5 linked regions of the Rattus norvegicus genome follow. Each later gene encodes a partner of the first gene's protein in a complex. Links are inferred from orthologs where the notes say so. Each region holds a gene or a part of one and is shown in the gene's direction. Other genes may lie near its edges.

Evidence for each region.
Region 2: Ripk1 (region 1) and Aim2 share a complex: the UniProt entries of both Homo sapiens proteins name them as parts of the AIM2 PANoptosome complex. The link is inferred for Rattus norvegicus from reciprocal best matches to the Homo sapiens genes RIPK1 and AIM2.
Region 3: Ripk1 (region 1) and Zbp1 share a complex: the UniProt entries of both Homo sapiens proteins name them as parts of the AIM2 PANoptosome complex. The link is inferred for Rattus norvegicus from reciprocal best matches to the Homo sapiens genes RIPK1 and ZBP1.
Region 4: Ripk1 (region 1) and Casp8 share a complex: the UniProt entries of both Homo sapiens proteins name them as parts of the AIM2 PANoptosome complex. The link is inferred for Rattus norvegicus from reciprocal best matches to the Homo sapiens genes RIPK1 and CASP8.
Region 5: Ripk1 (region 1) and Ripk3 share a complex: the UniProt entries of both Homo sapiens proteins name them as parts of the AIM2 PANoptosome complex. The link is inferred for Rattus norvegicus from reciprocal best matches to the Homo sapiens genes RIPK1 and RIPK3.

Annotation. Positions count from the first base shown.
Region 1 is NC_086035.1:31,070,657-31,074,169, reverse strand, and holds part of Ripk1 (receptor-interacting serine/threonine-protein kinase 1), read left to right. Parts: intron 1-1,004; exon of another isoform or gene 1,005-1,054; intron 1,055-2,092; exon of another isoform or gene 2,093-2,357; intron 2,358-2,456; 5' UTR 2,457-2,512; coding exon 2,513-2,676; intron 2,677-3,390; coding exon 3,391-3,513. UniProt on the Homo sapiens protein: Serine-threonine kinase which is a key regulator of TNF-mediated apoptosis, necroptosis and inflammatory pathways.
Region 2 is NC_086031.1:88,397,175-88,401,427, forward strand, and holds the start of Aim2 (interferon-inducible protein AIM2), read left to right. Parts: upstream 1-1,447; 5' UTR 1,448-1,540; intron 1,541-4,253. UniProt on the Homo sapiens protein: Sensor component of the AIM2 inflammasome, which mediates inflammasome activation in response to the presence of double-stranded DNA (dsDNA) in the cytosol, leading to subsequent pyroptosis.
Region 3 is NC_086021.1:182,419,209-182,423,521, reverse strand, and holds the start of Zbp1 (Z-DNA-binding protein 1), read left to right. Parts: upstream 1-1,504; coding exon 1,505-1,538; intron 1,539-3,155; coding exon 3,156-3,395; intron 3,396-4,313.
Region 4 is NC_086027.1:67,756,847-67,760,821, forward strand, and holds the start of Casp8 (caspase-8), read left to right. Parts: upstream 1-1,174; 5' UTR 1,175-1,463; intron 1,464-3,975. UniProt on the Homo sapiens protein: Thiol protease that plays a key role in programmed cell death by acting as a molecular switch for apoptosis, necroptosis and pyroptosis, and is required to prevent tissue damage during embryonic development and adulthood.
Region 5 is NC_086033.1:33,252,565-33,255,805, reverse strand, and holds the end of Ripk3 (receptor-interacting serine/threonine-protein kinase 3), read left to right. Parts: coding exon 1-31; intron 32-418; coding exon 419-567; intron 568-689; coding exon 690-736; intron 737-928; coding exon 929-1,096; intron 1,097-1,193; coding exon 1,194-1,261; intron 1,262-1,474; coding exon 1,475-1,816; intron 1,817-1,918; coding exon 1,919-1,976; intron 1,977-2,483; coding exon 2,484-2,614; 3' UTR 2,615-2,735; downstream 2,736-3,241. UniProt on the Homo sapiens protein: Serine/threonine-protein kinase that activates necroptosis and apoptosis, two parallel forms of cell death. Necroptosis, a programmed cell death process in response to death-inducing TNF-alpha family members, is triggered by RIPK3 following activation by ZBP1.

The DNA of each region.
Region 1 (3,513 bases):
TCAGAGTCCTGGTGTTATAAACCTAACAACAGGACTTACCGTAGCTATAACTATGAAGCAGGCAAATGTATTTTCACATGTTACTTTCTCATAAAATTCCTTGCCAGTCCCAAGATGGGCTGTTATTTCCTTTCACAGATGAGGAAATGGAGGCTTAAGTAAGTTCCTTAAAGTCACGAGGCAAATGAATTAAGAGTTCATACTCTCCAGAGGAAGATCCTTGCTCTGCACTCCCTTAATGGTTCCTGCTAGCACGCTTCTAGTGCCTTCCTTACTCCTCAGCCTTCACTCCTTCATCTGGGCCACCTCCTCTCTTTGCCGCTGCCCCACTCCTAGTCATCTTCCTTGGCAGTGCCTGAGATGGAGAAGATCATTTGATGTGCCCCTCTGATATCAGCTGTGCTGTTATGCTGGTGTCCTCTAGGAAGCCTCTATAGAGTGTAGAAGATTCACATACCCAAGCATTCTGCCGCAAGCCACTAGACAAGACTATAGGCACCCTACCTTTGCTTGTGAGTTATTGTCTATTCCTTGAATAACTCTAAGATAAAGTGTCTGCAACTTGTAGACCTAGATGTTCCTAATGACAGAAAACTTGTCACCTAAATTATCCAAAACCTTTGACACAGTGTTAAGAGGATTCCCAAAACCAGGCCTGCTAAATAGCGGTGCTTTTGTACTTCTTAATACTATTAAATGTCTTAGGTTTTCAACCAGAGCGAAGCACACTGGGGCCATGTCTTCCACTGTGAACAGTTTCCTTTGGGGGTGACAGAGCTCTCAGGAAGAGTCTTTACTTCATGGGAGATGACTATCATAGTTTCACCCCTTTTAAAGCTATCACCTCAGACATGTTCTTCATATACTTCTTAGGTCTTCTGGATTTTCTCTTTGGTCATTTCTTCACCTTTTAGGTACTCATTAAAATGTATTGAAACCCATAAGCTACTGTTTCCTTGTGTTTTACCTTCCTTCCTTTGAGGTTTTCTGTCTTCTTTTCACAGCATTCAGAGTGGGAATAAACTTGGCTTGCGTTGAATGGACACTGTTTATAGTGAGTAACCTCCTATGTATGGGTGACCAAGATGTTGAATTCAGCTGTGACATTCATCCTAGCACTGTGGCTGCCCTCTACCTACCCACCAGGGCACTCTCCTTCAAGTTCTCCTCCTGAGGAACACTGAATGTCACTCCTCAGAGATAGGCAGATCTCATGAGTCATCACGTCTTTTTCACGTCTTACTGTTCAGCATTATTCTTTTTATATTCTTCTAGTCCCTAACTTCGCTCATAATTACTTGTGTCATATATATTTCCTAATATTATTCAATATACTAATTACCTGATGTTCTTACCCTGTGCTTACTACTGCTGTCTATTATATACATATAGTCTAGCTCATAAGGAATGTTTTATTTTGTTATTTATACTTTTGGAAAGGGAACTTATGTCTAACATGCCTCCAAGTTGTTTTGTTGGTTTTAACATTAAAATCTAAGAATATCATCAGACTATGACCTCTTTCTACATAAGCATTCTTAGTTTGGGGAAATCACTCCTGCCCTAAAGAGAATGTCCTAAAGACAAAGTGCAAGGCATTGGGGATTTAGCTCAGTGGTAGAGCGCTTGCCTAGCAAACACAAGGCCCTGGGTTCGGTCCCCAGCTCCGGAAAAAAAAAAAAAAAAAAAAAAAAAGACAAAGCCCAAATTTATTTGAAGATGGCTCAGGTTATGAATTCACAGAGAATCTTTTTTAACCTCATTCCTAGTCATAGACACATGTATTTATTGGTAGCGATGGCTTTTTTTTTTCCCAGTCCATCTTTCTACTGAGAAGCTGAGGAGGTCCAAACTATGAGGAGGGCCTCACTCCAACCCTCTTGTATTGCAGACCACCTCCACTCCTAACCTAGAGCTACAATAGTAAAATTGCCACCATATGAGTCATTACCCCTATCCAGTGCTCAGTCTACTTTTTGTCTGTAGAATTTTTCCTTTCCGCTGTACCAAACTATGAATTTCGGTGGATGCTCAAGCCATGTTAGCTAACACATACGTAGCTTCCTGACAGAATGTTATCATTTTTTTCTAGTGTTCCATGATGCCAGAAATGAAGCATCCACTGGAATAAAAAAAATCAGTCTTCTATATCTCTTGGCTGAACAACTCATGTCACAGATTATACTTTTCCTCAAGAAAAACAAAGGCACTCCACATATGTGGTCCTTCGGGAGTTGAGGAGTTCTGAAACAGGACTCCCTGTATTGTTCTAACTGGTCTGGGACTCACTGTGGAGTACAAGCTAGCCTCAGACCTTCAGTCCTCCTGACTCAGCCTCCTGGGTAATAGGATTCCAGGCATGTACCGCTATCCCTGACAACATGCAGTATTTTTGGTTTTGGTTTTTTAAATCGTGGTCTTTTTGCCCTGAAATATCCTCTCTGATTGCTTTATAGGACACAGCCCTAAGCAAGAACCAAAGGTGGTGGGCTGCAGATTCTGAGCGTTCAAGATGCAGCCAGACATGTCCTTGGACAATATTAAAATGGCATCCGATGACCTGCTGGAGAGGAAAGACCTGGACAGCGGAGGCTTCGGGAAGGTGTCCTTGTGTTTCCACAGAACCCATGGATTTGTCATCCTGAAAAAAGTATACACGGGACCCAACCGCGCTGAGTGAGTCGGGAGCAGAAATGGGTTTCTGACTGCAGAAGGTAGTTGTCTCCAACTCTGTGGCTAAACACATAAAGTTTTAAATGAGGCTGACCTGCGGGGAGACTTGGCACACTGGCTTGATGAAGGGTGCCCATAACTCTTATTATTATGTTGGATGAGGACTTTGGAGTTAATTAAAAAGATATTAGTGCTTGATGGGAATGTGTGGGAAAGGCATCCCTGAAGACAGGAAGCTGGATAGTAAGGGAGGCCATGAGAAGAAGTCAGAGCCGTGGATACAGACACTGAAGCCTGGTACAAAAAGAGGCCAGTCCCATCATGGGAAATCCCAGCCACCCTGTGAGAGGCTGTAAAGGTGGAGGGCTTCTCTCCTCCTCAGGCTGGTTTGAGAGGGATGCCTGTCTTATTGTGTTTCCCAGTTCAGTCTCCATCAGGCCAGACCAGCGCTGAATTTTTCATTAATTGATTTGCTGCCATGAGTGCCCGGCTTCCAGTTCCTAAGACAAGGCAGGAGGGAGGGGTTTAGATGAAGAGAAGCCTCCCTGCCCCCCTAGGACCTGTCTGCCTGGAGGAGACCGGAACAGACCTGATTGTGACAAATGTTTGCAATATGGCTCGCACTGCAGGGACACTGGAGCTTCTTAGGCACCTGGGTAGAAGGGTTTGCCCTGCCCTGCTCAGCCCTGCTCAGCCTAGCTGCTCTCCTGCCCACAGGTACAATGAGGCTCTCTTGGAAGAGGGGAAGATGATGCACAGACTGAGACACGATCGAGTGGTGAAGCTACTGGGCATCATCATAGAGGAGGGGAATTACTCGCTGGTGATGGAGTACATGGA
Region 2 (4,253 bases), on another chromosome or scaffold:
TGTGCACTATAGCTGCTAGGACAATCCTGGGTAATAAAAGAGATCTGATTATGCAGAACCCAACCTTTTTATTGTGTTGATATTTAAATCATAGAAAACCAACCACCAGCAAGTGGGTGGGTGCTGTGCCCAGGGCTGTGTTAGCCCCTTAGGCTATGAGCTCCCTGGCAATACAGGAATTACCTCTCATGGAGTTCCCTATGTCTAAAATACCTCTGGTTGAGACCTCACAGCTGAAGGAGAAATTCTGCTGAGGCTTGTCAGGAAAAGGAAACTGAAAACTAGACTTTGTTTGGGCAGAGCCTTAATATATAATTATTTTGCCCCAGCATCAGGGCTTACTTAGGACTCAGCTACAGGGCTAAGACTTGCCAAGTTTCAAAGTGAAAGGAGGCAGTAAGTACTTTCTGTCTCTCAAGACCTGATTTTCATGATTTTCATGTCCTACCACTAATAGTGAACATCTTTGTGAGGTGAATGGTTTGAACTATCAGGATTTACACCAGTCCCCGAATTGAGGACTTAGGCTGCTGCAGAGAGAAAAATCCAGGGAGGTAAGTAAGGTATGTCAGAAATTTTCCGGAAAAAGCTTTAGGACCATTTTGCTAATCAGTAAATTAGGAGGAAAGAGGAGTCATGGGCTTCTGTGGTTAGAAGGAAGGATTATATTCCAGAAAAGAATAAGGCTGCAGGGAGCCTGGTTCTAAACCCTCAGTTGACTGTGGAACACACGTTATCTTTTATTGTACTACAACTGAGACCTTTACAAAAGAAAGTGCATTTGGTTGTGGCAGGAATTAGAACATATTGTTCAGAGGGTTGACCCAGACTGAGCCTAAAAGGAACTCTGATTTTCTGGGTGTGTTGGTCTGTAGGTGTTTTATTGACATGGATTTATATTTAGAAGAGGGTTTTTGGTTTCTAGCTGAAGGGGAAAAGCAACATAGGGGGTAGAGAGCAATTTCTCGATATAAGTTAAGAATAACGGCATGGCAGAAAGCCTATGATGTCACATTAGCTTGAAAGCATGGAGCTTGAAACTCTAAGTAACCTTCCCATCGAAGACATGTCAAGTCAAGCAGATCATGTTATTCCATAATCCCAGATGTTCAAGTGGCCCGGCATTTTTTCAAAAATTATGTATGCTTTTAATCTCCATTTCCTTTACTTTATTAGGTATTAGAAAATTCATTTCGGTCTACTTCCAACTGGATCCCACTTCTTTCCCACTTCCGTAGTGAAATCCCTAGAATTTGGGGGAAAGAGTGTTCCTATGATATCTGCAGAGGTTTGTATACCTGCTGGTGGCTTGGGAAGGTTTTGGGACTTTCACAAAGTAGAACTTACTGGAGAAACCTTATTGGAGGAAGTGGGACACTGAGGGCGGGCTGTGAGAGGTGATAGGCTGTCTCACTTGTAACTCTGCTTCCTGTATGAGAAAGAATTACAACTCGCCTGCCTCCTGTCCTGCCTGCTGCCACGCTTTTCTTACTGGCTACTATGTTTTCCCTGGCCTGAAGAACTCCACCCTCATGGACCTGTAAGTAAAAATAAAATCTACTTCTCCCCTATGCTGCTGATGTTCATTTTATCAAAGCAGAAAAGAAACTAATACAGTAACGACTCTTTGAAAGTCACTGATAACCTTTGTGCCCTTACTGAAAGCGTGGTAGATATTTCTAAGTATGGATCAGAACATAGTTGTTAATTATGTTTTTAAATCTTTTTGCTTTTTATGTTATTTTATTCTTGGCTATTTAAAACTTTAGTTATCGAAGGAACTGTTTTGTAAGTCCCGATCCTCAAGGCACATTTGTCATTTGTTCATGGAGAACTGTCAGACTTTGTTCACAGCTGTTGGCTTTACTCAGTGAGGGGCATACTGTTTAGAACTGTTATATTTGCCTTAGTGACTTTAACATTTAATCATTGTATAGCAACTCTGTCCTTAATGGCACTATTTGTCTTAGAGTCTTCTCTGACTAATATTAATAGAGCTGTTCTAACTAGGGCTTTTGTGCTTAGTGCCTGATACATAGGTCCACATTTCTGCTTCGCGACTCTTCAGCACTTCAGTTTCCCCAATGTATCTTTTGTAAACACCCTAGGAGCCACAGTGGGTTTTAATCCAGTTTAGCATTCCTTTTAAACCTGTGAGTCTAATTCATGTGTGTTCTGTCCATTGAGATATTTGAATCTTGTGTGACCGTCTTATATCCCTTCATATGATGTTTCCTTTTCCATGTCTGTTTTCTTCTTTTTAAACAATTCGCTTAAGATTAGTCTTTATACAGAATGATGCCTACTGTGATAGTCGTGTTTTCAAAAGTACCATTCATACATCTCGCGGGGACATGCCATTTATCATTACCCAGAAAATGATTTCTGATGTGGGTTTTGGGGAAATGCTGTAACGTAGAGTTTACTGCTTCAGGGAGGTGAATGAGCACACAGCATAGCCACTCTGAAGTGGAAGGCCCTGTGTGATTTAGTACATAGACAAGGCTGTATACCTTCCCCTGAATCTAGCTCCAAGATATGAGACTTGCTCTTTCTATTTATCCCCACAACTGTTTAAATATTACCTTCTCAAAGAGACACAGTCACTACCAACTTGAGTTACACCACACAGGCCCAGCCCACGTTCTTAATGAAAACTATGTGCTATACATACTTATACTTGTTTTGGAAATAGTGAAGAAATCTTGTCTGATTCATGACTCACTTCCTCTCAGACTTGTAAGATGCCTGACTGGACAAAATGAGCTGATTTGTGAACAACGGCTGTTGATTTCCTGGTTTATCTCTCAAATGCGTCTCTTTTGCATTTTTTATTTTAAAAAGGAGTTTTGCAAGTTTTTAAGACATACGGGTTGGCTGTTTAATCACAAGTTCATAGGGAGTGTAGCAAAGTTTGGGTCTTTTGGGATACTCCCATGACGCAACTGCATAATCTGTCGTGGGGGCAGCCCGACCTGCAGCAATCATTCTCAGGGGAAGGCATGTTGGTACTGGCACGGCGCTGTGTGGTTTGGAGAGCTCTCTCTGCCATGTTACATATTAAATCCTCATAGTACCATCTCCTGCTGTCCATATTTAACTGATGGCGAATCAACCCCATGAGATAAGTACAAGTTAGGGTCAGAGCCTGATTTATATACTCCTGTCTTGGTACCACCTTTTACTAGGGCATTTTTCTAAGTTAAATCTGGACACCCATCTGTAGTTGTGATTTTTGGAGATTTGTAAGAAGCCGTTCAATCGACATCAAGTAGTGACCTGATATATAGCTGCTCACCACGGGAACAAAGCCTTAGGCATCTGTTGTCCAGAGTCTGGTGGAGTGGATGTTTGTCGTGAGGCTTTTCTAAGAAGAAGAATGCTGTCTGACATTTCAAAGTCTCTTTTAGTTGCTTGCTCTCCCCATAGCATGATAAATATAAACTTCACACTATAATAATAACATATGTTGTGCACACCAGGTGTCAGGTATACCTTATGAATTGCATACTTATGTAATTTAGCCACATCTCACGTGGAGTCTGTGCAGTAGGGACCATCAGACGATTCTTCATCAAAGTACTAGAAAACATCTTTGATCCCATCACAGAGCTAGAAAGTGAAAACATGTAATTCTAACACATGTAGTCTCTGTACCAGGAAAATATCACCCAATAGAAATATAATATAAATAAATACACTTACATTTTCTAGTAGCTACCTTAAAAAACAAAAGCAAAACCCAATAACAGCAGCCCAATATGTTTGATTAAAGTCAAAGTATCCAAAATATTTACTGAGTCTTCAAAACTCTGGCATATATTTTGTTCTCAGAGAACGTAATTTCTGGTGGTAAATTTTCATCTATATTTACATTTATATTTATATATATTTAAAATTCACAAAATTTACAGTTGAAAATGTAGGTTTACATATTCAAGTAATTTTAATCACACTGATTTTTCTAGAAACCAAATTGAGTTTGTTTTTAATTAAAATTAAATATAATATAAAATTCAGTCCTGTCAGCTGCACACATGAAATATTTGAGAACTGCATCTAGTTGTTGTAAGCAGGTTGCTCTGGAATTCAAGCCTGTTTTCTATTTGTTTACTAATTAACTGATTAATTGATTTCTGGTGTGTATGTGTGTGTGACATACATGTGTGTGTCCGTCTGTCCGTTGGTCTGTCTGTCTGCGTATGCATGCCAGAGTTCAGGGTGGGGTATCTTCCTTGATTTGCTCTCCATTT
Region 3 (4,313 bases), on another chromosome or scaffold:
ATCTGATGCCCTCTTCTGGCCTGCAGGGTATATGCAGATAGAGCCCTCACATACCTAAAATCAATCAATAAATAAATCTTTCATAGTCTTAAGATTTATATATTATGTATAGAGTACTCTGCGGGTTGAGGGACATTTTTAGAGGGGTCGCCTAAGACCCTTGGAAAGCACAGATCTTTACATTACGTTACAGTTACATAACAGTAGCCAAATCCCAGTCAGGAAGTGTTGACGAAGGTAATTCCTATGGCTGGGGAATCACCACAGCGTGAGGAACTGTATTAAAAGGTTGCAGAGTTAGGACAGTTGAGAACCGCTGACCTAGGAGGCCCTGACTCCTTCCAGGTCTGCTAATGTAAGGAACAGAAGGGAAGACCTGTAAAGGATGCTCAAGAAAGAAGCGAGGAAAGCGGGCATGTCCTGAAGCCCGGTTAAGTCTGAAGCCACCTTGGCCAGGGATCAAGCAAGACCCCCTGGGCAACAGGCGGTTGGTGAGCAGGCACCACCTAGTGGTCAGTCTCCAAAATGACATCTCTAGGGAACTGGGGCAATGTCCCCCAACAGGCCAGGTTGAGAGCTTGTTTAAAAGCCACCTTATTTATTTTGGGTGCCACAGGCAGTGCAGTTTCTGTTTTCCTTGGCTGGTTCTGCAGGCACTGTTTTTCCTCCCTGGAAGTCATAAAAAGCACTTGGAAATGTTAAAGTTTTCCCAAGCTGTGCGGATCTGGCCTGATGGTGGCCTGCCTGGTGACCTTTTCAGGCTCCGAGAGGTAAAGCTGACTGGGGACCTGCTGCCAGCTGCTTGCTTTGCAGACATCACCTCCTTCTGGTCTCCATTGACTGTTCCTGTCCCGCCCTGTGCACCAGGGACCTGCACACCAGACAGGTCCCCCCACCCTGTAGCTGGGACCCAGATTCAGGGATTATTATGGGCTGAGTGGTGAACACAAGGCCATCTCTGTGAGTCTCCATCCCCCTCTCCCGTAATATGGACAGAGAGGTGTCTGAACTGTTCTCGGGCCGCTGAGAATTTATGAAAGTGAAAGGAGTCTGTCTCTTCTTCTAAAACATATGTGGGTAGACAGTACTAGACCAGGCAGGAGAGGCACCGTGGGTGCCTTTTCCTAGATCACCATCTTCCTCCTCACAGGGCTTTCAGAGTCCTCTTCAGGTCTCACTCTTCCCGTGGGCAGTCCCACCCCAGAGGCCAAGACCCCGCTCTTTTCTGTCACATGGTCTGTCCAACTCCAGCTTCCTCATCCACCCTGATTTTGACAATTCTTTCATTCGAGAATCACACCAAAGTTTCATTTTCTGTTTCTTCAGAAAGCCAGAGGGCGGGGAAGGGGTGCAGCCAGATGGGTATTAGTTTCCGGGGTGGTAACAGCTGGTGTCTGCAGGTCCAAACAAGCATTCTTTCTTGTGGACTCAGAGCCCCAGGCCTGGCCACAGTGCTGGGACCTGCCACCCCCACCCCTAAAAGTGCCCCACGGCTGCTGGGAGCATGGCGGAGGCTTCTGTGGACCTGGGCACGGGAGGTAAGTTAAACTCTTCCTTCACCACCTTTGGGTCCTGGGTGAAGTTTCTACGGCTCCTGGCTGTTTCCTTAGCCCAGACGGCAGCAGGACTCTGAGGTCACCACAGAGAAGTCAGCTTGCTTCAGGGATCCTGTGCCCCAGATCCTTCATGTCCTCTTACCTCATAGATGAGGTCACCAAGGCCTGTGACAGGCCTGGGGCTCTGAACTGTCATCTCGAGAGAGGACTTTGCTTTGATAGGAAGATGTGACTTTGATTTTGTAGTCAAGCTTTTCTCCTGCCCTAGTCAAATCCTTGCTGCAATCATGTAGTCCATCTAGGGGCTTCTGGGCTATGGGAGGCTACGGGGTGCAGGGCTGTGTGAGGCTGCGATGCTGTGGACAGGATTTAATTTACTGCTTGTCTAGGTCCTTCTGGGTTATCCTTTCTTATTTCAGACCTGGAAACATACTAGAAGTTGCTGCTCATAAGCTATCAGGGAGGGGCCAGGCCAGGTGCCAGTTTCTTTCCTGGGCAAAGAAGACCAGGAACTAAAACTCGCCTGACTCCTGTAGTTTCCTAACACTACTAACCTGTCCAGCCTTACCAACTCCAGTCTTCTGCTTCCTAACGTCCCGCTTTCAGACCCTGCAACCAGTCCTTCAAGCCCACCCTTTGGGGAAGGCTTTGCCTCTCTTGTGTGTCTTTAGGGGTCAGTGGGGGAGGGGAGGGGAGGGGAGCCTGCTACACGACACACTCCCCAGCAAAGGTTTCTCAAGGCAAGGCAAAGCCAACCCAGGAATAGAGATGCTAAGTCCTCTAATTCCAGCACTGCAGTGGGGGTGGATCTGGGGCTGAAGCAGGAGGATTGCTGTGAATTTCAAGCTAGCCTGAGCTATATGGTAAGACTTTGTCAGGAGAGGAAAGAAAGAAAGTTAAAGGCAGACACACGGACAAGCAGACGAACCTGCTGAAAGGAGCATGAGGTGGGACTTGGGGGACCCTCGGGGTTAGGCACAGAGGAGGCTGGTTGGCTAGCAGAGGCCCATCGAAGCTCCCGGTGGAGGGATCTGGGGGCAAGCTTTCTGGAGTTGGTGGCCATCTGGAAGATGGCTTCAAGGCCCAGGTAAAAGAACTGAGCTGGGTTTTCCGGGGCTCCTGCTCTATCAGGCATGGGAGGAGAGACCCATTTCTCTTATCTGCTGGACTCCTGACCTGGGAACACCCACACCATAGATGTGGGTGCTGAGCTGGAGAGAAAGGGAGTCCCTGGCCGGGCTGGGAGAGACATCAAGACACCACGGAGGGACTTCAGGGCCAGACTTGGTTTCACACCTCTCCCTCTTGCTCCATCGTCTGAGGGCTGAGGGTTCCTACCTGCTTGACTTCCACATAGTACACAGGGCAGGCTGCATATGACTTTACCACTCCAGACATCTATCTGTGGAGCCAGCGTTCACCTGACTGACACCCTCGCCTCCGACTGGTATCCTCGCTTACTGTCTGCTTGGCCCAGGTCACGGGTGCCTTCTCTGCTCTAGGGTCTCTCCGGAGATCCCTCCTGTGCCCGGAAGCTTGGATGCAGGGTGTCCCCGGGGACTAGGCTTGACTCAGTTCTTCTCTGTGTTCCTCCCCGAGACAACCTGGAGCAGAAGATCCTGCAGGTGTTGAGTGATGCTGGTAGTCCTGTGCAGATCGACCAGCTGTTGAAGAAGTTACAAGTGCCCAAGAAAATCCTCAACCAAGTCCTTTACCGCCTGAAGAAAGAGGGCCGAGTGTCCTCGCCGGCGCCAGCGACGTGGTCCTTAGGTGGAGATGGGGCTTCCGGAGATGGGGCTCCCGAGATCCCTGAGGACTCCGCTGCCCAGCCTAGCCTTGGTAATCTGTCACGTCGGCAGAGCAGAAGCCCCTCCCCCCACCACCACATACACCCCTTAAGAGCCATCTTGTCATAGGCAAGCCCAGATTCAGGCTTGGCTTCAAATCTGAGCTCGGCCATCCCCTCTCTGTCTCTGGATTTCTCCCGGCCAATGGAGCTAATGTTGAGCCTAGGGCTTAGCCATAGAAGGCTTGCAGTAGACAACAGCAGGGTCAAAGACACAACCCAGGCAATAGTCACAGCGAGAGTGAGGGCTGACGGTAAGTAAGGATTCACTCAGAGCCTTCGGGTGACTTTGAGAGCCACGGAGAAGAAAGGACCCACAGTTCCAAGTGCTGACACTGCCCCCGCCCCCCCCCCCCCCACACCAGAGCCATCTTGCCTTCATTCAACCCTCAGACAGAGACAGGAAAGGAAGCAGCCTCAACCTTCAACAGACAGCATCCATGACCCAAGCAGATCGGAAGCCCTGGGACCCAGCCTAATGTGCTGTCCCCCAGCTCTCCGGAGAAACTATTCTGTTTTTAATGGAGCAGGGCATCTCCTGTCTTCAACTGACACATCCTTCTTCCAGTCCCAAGACCCTAATGAGATGTGGGTGCAGCTCCAGAGAGTCCTGGCCTGCATCTCGGTGCATGCTGGAGGCCTCCCCAGACCCCTGAAGCTCCATGGGAGTGTCAGAGGCCAGACTCACTGTTAGAAGAGAGAGGTTCTAAATGGTGAGATGTGGGCTCTGACACCCCTGCGTCAGTCTGCGCCAGTCTCTAGGGTGAGAGCCTCATCCGCTTGGTCTCCAGAGGACCACTGTCCCCAAGATGACCCAATATGTGCTTCTGACAGACCCTCGCCATGTCCCTGGGCTTCACGAGTATCCCAGGCCACAGGCAGTAGGTGGTGGGTAGATGCAAGCCCAGGGC
Region 4 (3,975 bases), on another chromosome or scaffold:
CCCAGAAGGCTCGTGTGCTGTGTGCTGTCCAGGGTGCTGTTTTGCTCTCCTCTCATTAATCATTTGACCCTGTTCTTTAATTGCTCATCAGCAATAAATAATCATACCTGCTGTGGTGGGGTAGCCCGACTACGAAGTATCTACCACAACTGGCCCATTCGTATGGGTCTTGGATTACAATCTGGTGGCTTTAGCAGACGCATCCCTCACTCGGGAACCCTCCAGGTAGCAGCTGGATTGTGTTGGTGACATACTGGTCTGGTTTAACCAGATTTCACTGGTTTTGTGAAACACTGTTTTGGTGTGGTTTGACAAAATGTCCCCCGTAGGTTTGAGCACTTAGTCCCTTGCTAGTGGCGGTACCTGGGGGGAGGTTGTGAAAGTGAGTCTCTGGGAGCAGCCTTGAGGTTTTTTATAGCCTGACCATACTTCCTGACCAGCCTTTTAACCCCGCCCCCACCCCGCTTCAGACAAGTTGTTACTCTGTAGCCCAGTTTAAATTGTAGTTCATCACACTGCTCACTCTGAACTCCAAGTATTGGGAAGGAAGTTAGTATGTGGTAAAATGGGATTTTAGTCTTTGTATCTACTTGATGTTCTGGACTCCATAATTCTGCCTCAGCACTGTGGAAAAACATGTTACCATGAATTCCTAGAACACGGCTAGGAGCCAGGATTTCTCCAGTGTGTGTACTTCCGAACGCTTCAACTGCAGGCCCGTGTGACCCTAAGAACAGCCTTATAATATGATCTTGGTGGGGAGACGGGTCCATGAGTTCAGTGCTGAGTTCAGACCATGCCACAAAGTAAAATTTCTCTTTCAGCGTCTCCCTTGACCATCTAACTTCACAGTGTGAACCAGGCAGTTCCGTTCTGTCTCCCTTGCTGGTTTTTTGATTCAGTGCGAAATCACTTTCTTCTTGTAGTTGGCTCCTTTGAACTGTGTGTGTGTGTGTGTGTGTGTGTGTGTGTGTGTGTGTGTGTGTGTGTGTGTGTGTGTGTGTGTGTTTCCAGTGTCTCTGGGCTAGCCTGAACTTACCAGTTCTAATCTTCCTGCCCCTACCTCCCTGAGTGCTGACATTTCTAGAGCTGGTTTACCCATCCAGTCACAAGGTATAGGGTTTCTGTATGCAAGGAGGTGGGGTTAGGGTGGGGGGAATGAGGAAGTGTCCTTAAGAACTGGCGGGCGCTCCTAAGGCGGGCAGAGAGAAGCAGCCTATGCCACCTAGTGATTATCAGAAATTAGTCATTTCTGCTCCTTAGTTCTCTCAGTTGCCTTTCTCCTCCCTCTGACCTCCGGTGTTTTATAGTTCCGCTTCTTTGAATCCATAGTAAACTTTGGCGGACTGGCCAGGGAACAGGAAGTGAGCCCGGCTAGCGGCAGCCGGAGGCGGAGAGCGTCTCCCAGGGGTTGCTCGCCCGAGAGGGGAGCTGTGACTGGCGGGGCAGGGACTCGGCGACAGGTGAGTGCTGCAGAGTAGTCCGGTTCGTTCCTCTCCTACCAGCAGGCCGCGATCCCAACGGTGGCAATCTAGCCTGACGCTCCCCGAAATGCGGCCATCGGAGTACGGTCATCGCCTCCTCCAGAAAACTTTATTCGATTTCTTAGGCTAACTTTCTTTGTAGTCCGGCTCAGGACCTAGAGCCAGGTTAATTATCCGGTGGCATCACTGTGTGTTCTCTGACTTGCGTTGGGTTTCCTCCGGCGATTTTCAGGCTCCTCCCAACTCTTAAGAGACGTCCCCCAACCCTAATCCCAAATCCTCTCTCCCTTTCTACTTCTCCAACATCTCCCCTCCCCTGTTCTCTCCCCTTTCTTCTCTTTGCCTTCCCCTTTCCCTTCCTCCTATTCTCTCATTCTCCCCCACCTCCTTCCCCTCCCCTCCCCCTCTCCCTCCCCTCTCCCTGACCCTTTTCCCTCTAAGATCTGGCCTCGAGCTTCTTGAACTTCTGATCTTTCTGCTTCCACCTCAGGAATGCTGGCAGTGCAAGGGGTGGGAGTGACAGGGTACCAGCTCTGCACTTAAAACCACAAAAACAGCAAGGGGGCTGGGGAGAGGGAGAGCTAGAGGTGGCCTGAGGCCAATAATTCCTCTACATGCTAAGCAGTTATAACAGTGACTGTCATTATGTACCAGTGAGGAATTATCATACTGTCATATTTCTATTTCTTACTATTTTTTAAAGGGAGTCCTTTAAGTGCCTTCTGCTTGGCTAGGTCTCAGTTTCATTCTTTAAAATGTATTTATCTCTATTTTAATTTAATGTCTATGAGTGTTTTGCCTGCATGTATGTATGTGCACTTGGTGTCCAGGGGGACCACAGATCTCTCGAACTGGAGCTACAGACAGTTTCAGTCACCATATGGGTGCTGGAAACTGAACCCAGTTGGTCTGCAAGAGCAGTGAGTGCTCTTAAACTCCTGAGCCTTCTCAACACCAAATCTTTCGTTTTTTTAATAAGCATGGTAGTAATCGAATTAGCATTAGGGTGATTAGCACTCCCCTTTCTCACAAATCCTATTTAAGAAGGCCCAAGCACTCATATGTGGACACGGAAGAGCTGCTGTTCATGGCTGTATGCCTCAGTGTCTCTTCCCCAGTGGGGAGGAATGTGACACCTGGGGTCATTTAGGTGTTATTCGGTTTTGCCTGGTCATTTCTGTTGTGGGTTAAGTCCAGGAACTACCAGGCTTTCTCGCACAGCCTGTACAGCAAGCATGGCCACTTCACTCGATCAGGCTGCTTTTTTTTTTTTTTAATCTTTCAACTTAAAATTCTCTAATAAGAAAGTGTGCATCTTCTTGCTTTATTTACCATTCCTCAGATTTAATGTGGCATCCTATGATCTGTGTGGGCTTAGTGCCCATCGGGGAATTCCGCGTTCATACCCATTGCCTCTTTACAGAGTTTCTTTTCATTGATGATTTTCAGGCTGCTGTTGTATGGTTCAGGTGTTACTGTGAAAGCTTCAGTTGCTACCCTCAGGAAGTTTGTGGTCTTGAACAGGAAATTCTCAGAAGTGAGCCGGAACTGGGGCAGAGGTTTCAGAAGATGCTGGAGTAACTCCGGGAGTGGATTGGGGGCACAAACAGGATTTGATTCTGCTGCTCCAATGTTGCCCAGGTTCCTGGCAGAATCAAATGCCAGCTAAAAGTCCTGATATGGTGGTGTCACCTTTGCCCAGACCTTGAGGGTGGACACGTACTTTCAGGTGACTTATTCAGTTCCCTCAGCTGTAAACTTGGGGCCCTTTACTCGGAAAACTTACCTTCTATTTTATTCTGTGTTAGGTAGCAGAAAACACAGTTTCAAAGTTCTTTTCTCTTTCTTCTCTTTAACACCAGACAGTATTTTAACTAATTCCCAGCAAGCAGCTTATGTGTTTGTACACAGGTTTGTTCACATGGTGAAGGGCCCAGTGTTTGCCTCTTTGGTGAGATGGCTGTAGGAAAACCTTTGATTTTAGGTGGGTGTTTTTGGTGTTGTTGTTTGTTTTTATTTTTGTTTCTAATGGCTGTCAGTGGGAACTATGGAACTAGAAGCAGGGAGAACACTTCTGTGTAACAAGAAGAGTCAGCTGTGGAAGTTGCAGACGCTCGAAGCCCAGGACCCCAGGCCCATCAGAGGTGAAGTACACTGGGGGCCTCTTTTTACTAGTTAATAAAAATTTAGAAATTCATCTCTTTTTCTTTTTTTATATTCTAAAAGCGAGTCAAATGAAAGTTTTTCAGTTATATCCATACGATTTTTTTTAAATCCATGTGTTTTGTTTGTTTGTTTCGGTTTTTTTTTTTTTTAAGATTTATTTATTTTATTTACAGATGGTTGTGAGCCACCATGTGGTTGCTGGGAATTGAACTCAGAACCTCTGGAAGAGCAGTCAGTGCTCTTAACCGCTGAGCCATCTCTCCAGCCCCTCATATGATTTTTCTAAATTTCATAGATAATCAGTTGTAATGTCTCCCCTTTTGCC
Region 5 (3,241 bases), on another chromosome or scaffold:
TGTTCTGCTGGATCCAGAGCTCCACGCCAAGGTTAGTCCATCTACAACCTAGTGTAGGCTTGGGACTGTGTTGAATACCCTTGGCCTGTCAAGGCTACACGGGTGACAAGACCCACCTAGGAGTTCTACCTCTAGTCAGACCAGCTGACCCTCCTTATGAGAGGTCCTCCTTACCCTCCTGGGTCAGTTCCACGGGCCTAAAGCCCTCCCCACCCCCCATGGACCCAGGCTGACTTATCTCAGGCTTGCCTGCCCATTAGCAACTCAGATCTCCTGCTAAGGTCTCAATGACTCGATCTTCCCTCTGCTCCTCCATACCACCTCCCAAAAGCTGAGGCTGCATCTTCTGGGAGCAAGAGAGGAAAAAAAAATCTCTGGCCCTTTTCATCTAATACCTTCCTTTTCCTTTCCTTTACAGTTAGCAGACTTTGGCCTGTCCACATTTCAGGGAGGGTCACAGTCAGGGTCAGGGTCAGGATCGAGAGATTCTGGGGGCACCCTAGCTTACTTGGCCCCAGAGCTGTTGGATAATGACGGAAAGGCTTCTAAAGCAAGTGATGTTTACAGGTAAACTGTCCGCCCCAAATACACTCCACATTTCTATACCTATTTGGGCCCTTCTAAAGGGTACGATATGGGAAAATAGTCTTGCCAGAGGCCATCCAAGCCTCCACTTTCTGTCTGTACAGTTTTGGGGTCCTCGTGTGGACAGTGCTGGCTGGAAGAGAAGCTGAGGGTAAGACTCTAAATGGACTCTTAGCTCAGGTGCCCGAAAGCATCTAAAACCCCTAGAGCCCTCCCTCCCTGACCTACTAAGACTGCCCTCTTCCCACCTCGCCTCTTGCCTGGATGGCTCTCCCTTCTTCTGTCCGTGATAGAATGGGGTGTCTCCTCATTTCATGAATTCTTTTGTTACCCCCGACTCCAGTGGTAGACAAGACCTCACTAATTCGTGGAGCAGTGTGTAACAGGCAGAGGCGACCTCCATTGACAGAGCTGCCTCCGGACAGCCCTGAGACTCCTGGCTTAGAAGGACTGAAGGAGTTAATGACGCATTGCTGGAGTTCTGAGCCTAAAGACAGGCCATCCTTCCAAGGTGAGTAACCCATGTCTCTGGCACTAGGATAGTTTGGGTCTTCAGCAGGAAGCTTTTCCAAGAAGTCCTACTCATCTACAACTCTGTTGTCTTTCAGACTGTGAATCAAAAACCAATAATGTTTACATCCTGGTACAGGACAAGGTAGATGCTGCTGTCTCCAAGGTGAGTTTCTAACACTGCCTTCCCACCCCGGAACTGTTCAGTGGCTCCCTCAACCACCCGGTTTATCTCCACTGTCTACCATTATTTAATCCTTGACTCTCATTCCTGTTCACCCAAACCTACTCCTTAGTCTCCAGAGACCAAGAAAATATTCACTGGGGCTTACTCTGGCTGCCCCAGCTCCTGACGCACAAGGTCCTCCTGTCTACGCAGGTAAAGCATTATCTGTCTCAGTACAGAAGCAGTGACACAAAGTTGTCTGCCAGAGAGTCCAGCCAAAAAGGTACAGAGGTGGATTGCCCCAGGGAAACCATAGTTTATGAAATGCTGGACCGCCTGCATCTGGAGGAGCCCTCTGGATCAGTTCCTGAAAGACTCACAAGTCTTACTGAGAGGAGAGGAAAGGAAGCATCATTTGGGCATGCCACACCAGCAGGGACATCATCTGACACCTTGGCTGGCACTCCCCAAATTCCACATACTTTACCCTCCAGAGGCACAACACCTAGGCCAGCCTTTACTGAGACTCCAGGTCCTGACCCCCAAAGGAATCAGGTGAGACATTGGCAAGACTAGAGCACGCCCTCTTAGCAAGGAGAACTTCATGGTGATGAGATTAGCCTCTTAGAAAGCCTGAGAACTCTGTGTTGTTTGCAGGGAGATGGAAGAAACAGCAATCCTTGGTACACCTGGAACGCACCAAATCCAATGACAGGTACCCATTCTTCATCCTCTGTTGCCCTCCCTGCTCAGCTCTCCCATCACCTTCTTCCTCAGCACCCATCTATGGACTCCAGTTACTCTGGAGTTGGAAAGGAATGACTATAGATCACCTAACCCAGTCTGCCTCTGTTTAATACATGAGGGACTTGACATCCATTAGGAGAGGATCCCACTGAGGTCACACAGCCAAAGTCGGAACCTGCTAACTTTTCCCCAGCACTAAGTCTGTGAGCCCCCACAGTTCCTCTATGACTAAGGCAGTCCAGAGAGTCTCCCATCAAAGACACCCAAACAGCAAGCACTACTCCTTTGAGCTTCTACAAGACTAATTCTGAAGAGGCACTGCTCATAGTGAGACCCAGTTGCGAGCAGGTGAAGACCCTACGTTTGCATTCCCCCGGATGAACACAAGGTGTCGCTGCCCCTCGCCCCAAAGTGCTCGTTAACCTTTCTAACTTTTGAACCCTCTCACTACCACTACCTCCTTTTCCTCTTAAAGGGCTACAGTCTATTGTCTTAAACAACTGTTCTGAAGTGCAGATTGGACAACACAACTGCATGTCAGTACAACCGAGAACTGCCTTTCCCAAGAAGGAGCCAGCACAGTTCGGCAGGGGTAGGGGCTGGTAGCCCGTCCACGTCCACGAGTAGACTTCGGAGAGGACCTGCAAGTGCCTGAAGCAGGAAATACACCATTCAGGCAGCCAGTATAAATAGAGTGAAAATAAAAGCACTTTCTAAGCAACCTGAACTGACTAAGACATTTTTTTTTGCCACTTCCTGTAGCTCACGGCATTCTTTGAAGACAGTTAGACCTACACCCAAACTGACTTTTGACTTACCTCCGAAAAGTCAATCTATACAACATGTTAACTATGAGTGAGTCTGAGGTGTCAATCCAGGGCATTAGGGATGGACAGCCAGGAGCTGGCTACCCTGGAGGGTGGAGGGGAAGTTGGTGCTACAGGAAAAGGGGATCTGGGAACGAGATATAGGCGACCTCTCAGCTCATAGGGTCAGGGTCCAGCTGGTGGCAGGATGAAATCAGAGGCTTGGCTCTGTGATACTCCAATCTCAGGGTGGGGTATTTCCTCCAGAGCTCAGGGCTAATACCACCCTAAGCCTAGACTGACAGGACGGAAGTTGGAGTCACACCGCTCCCTTTTTCTCCTTGATTTTGAACACTGGGCTTTGGGGCCCTGGTGAAGGAAAGTGTCTCAGGAAATTCAAAGGTGCCCCAGGCTCTCTAGACCACCA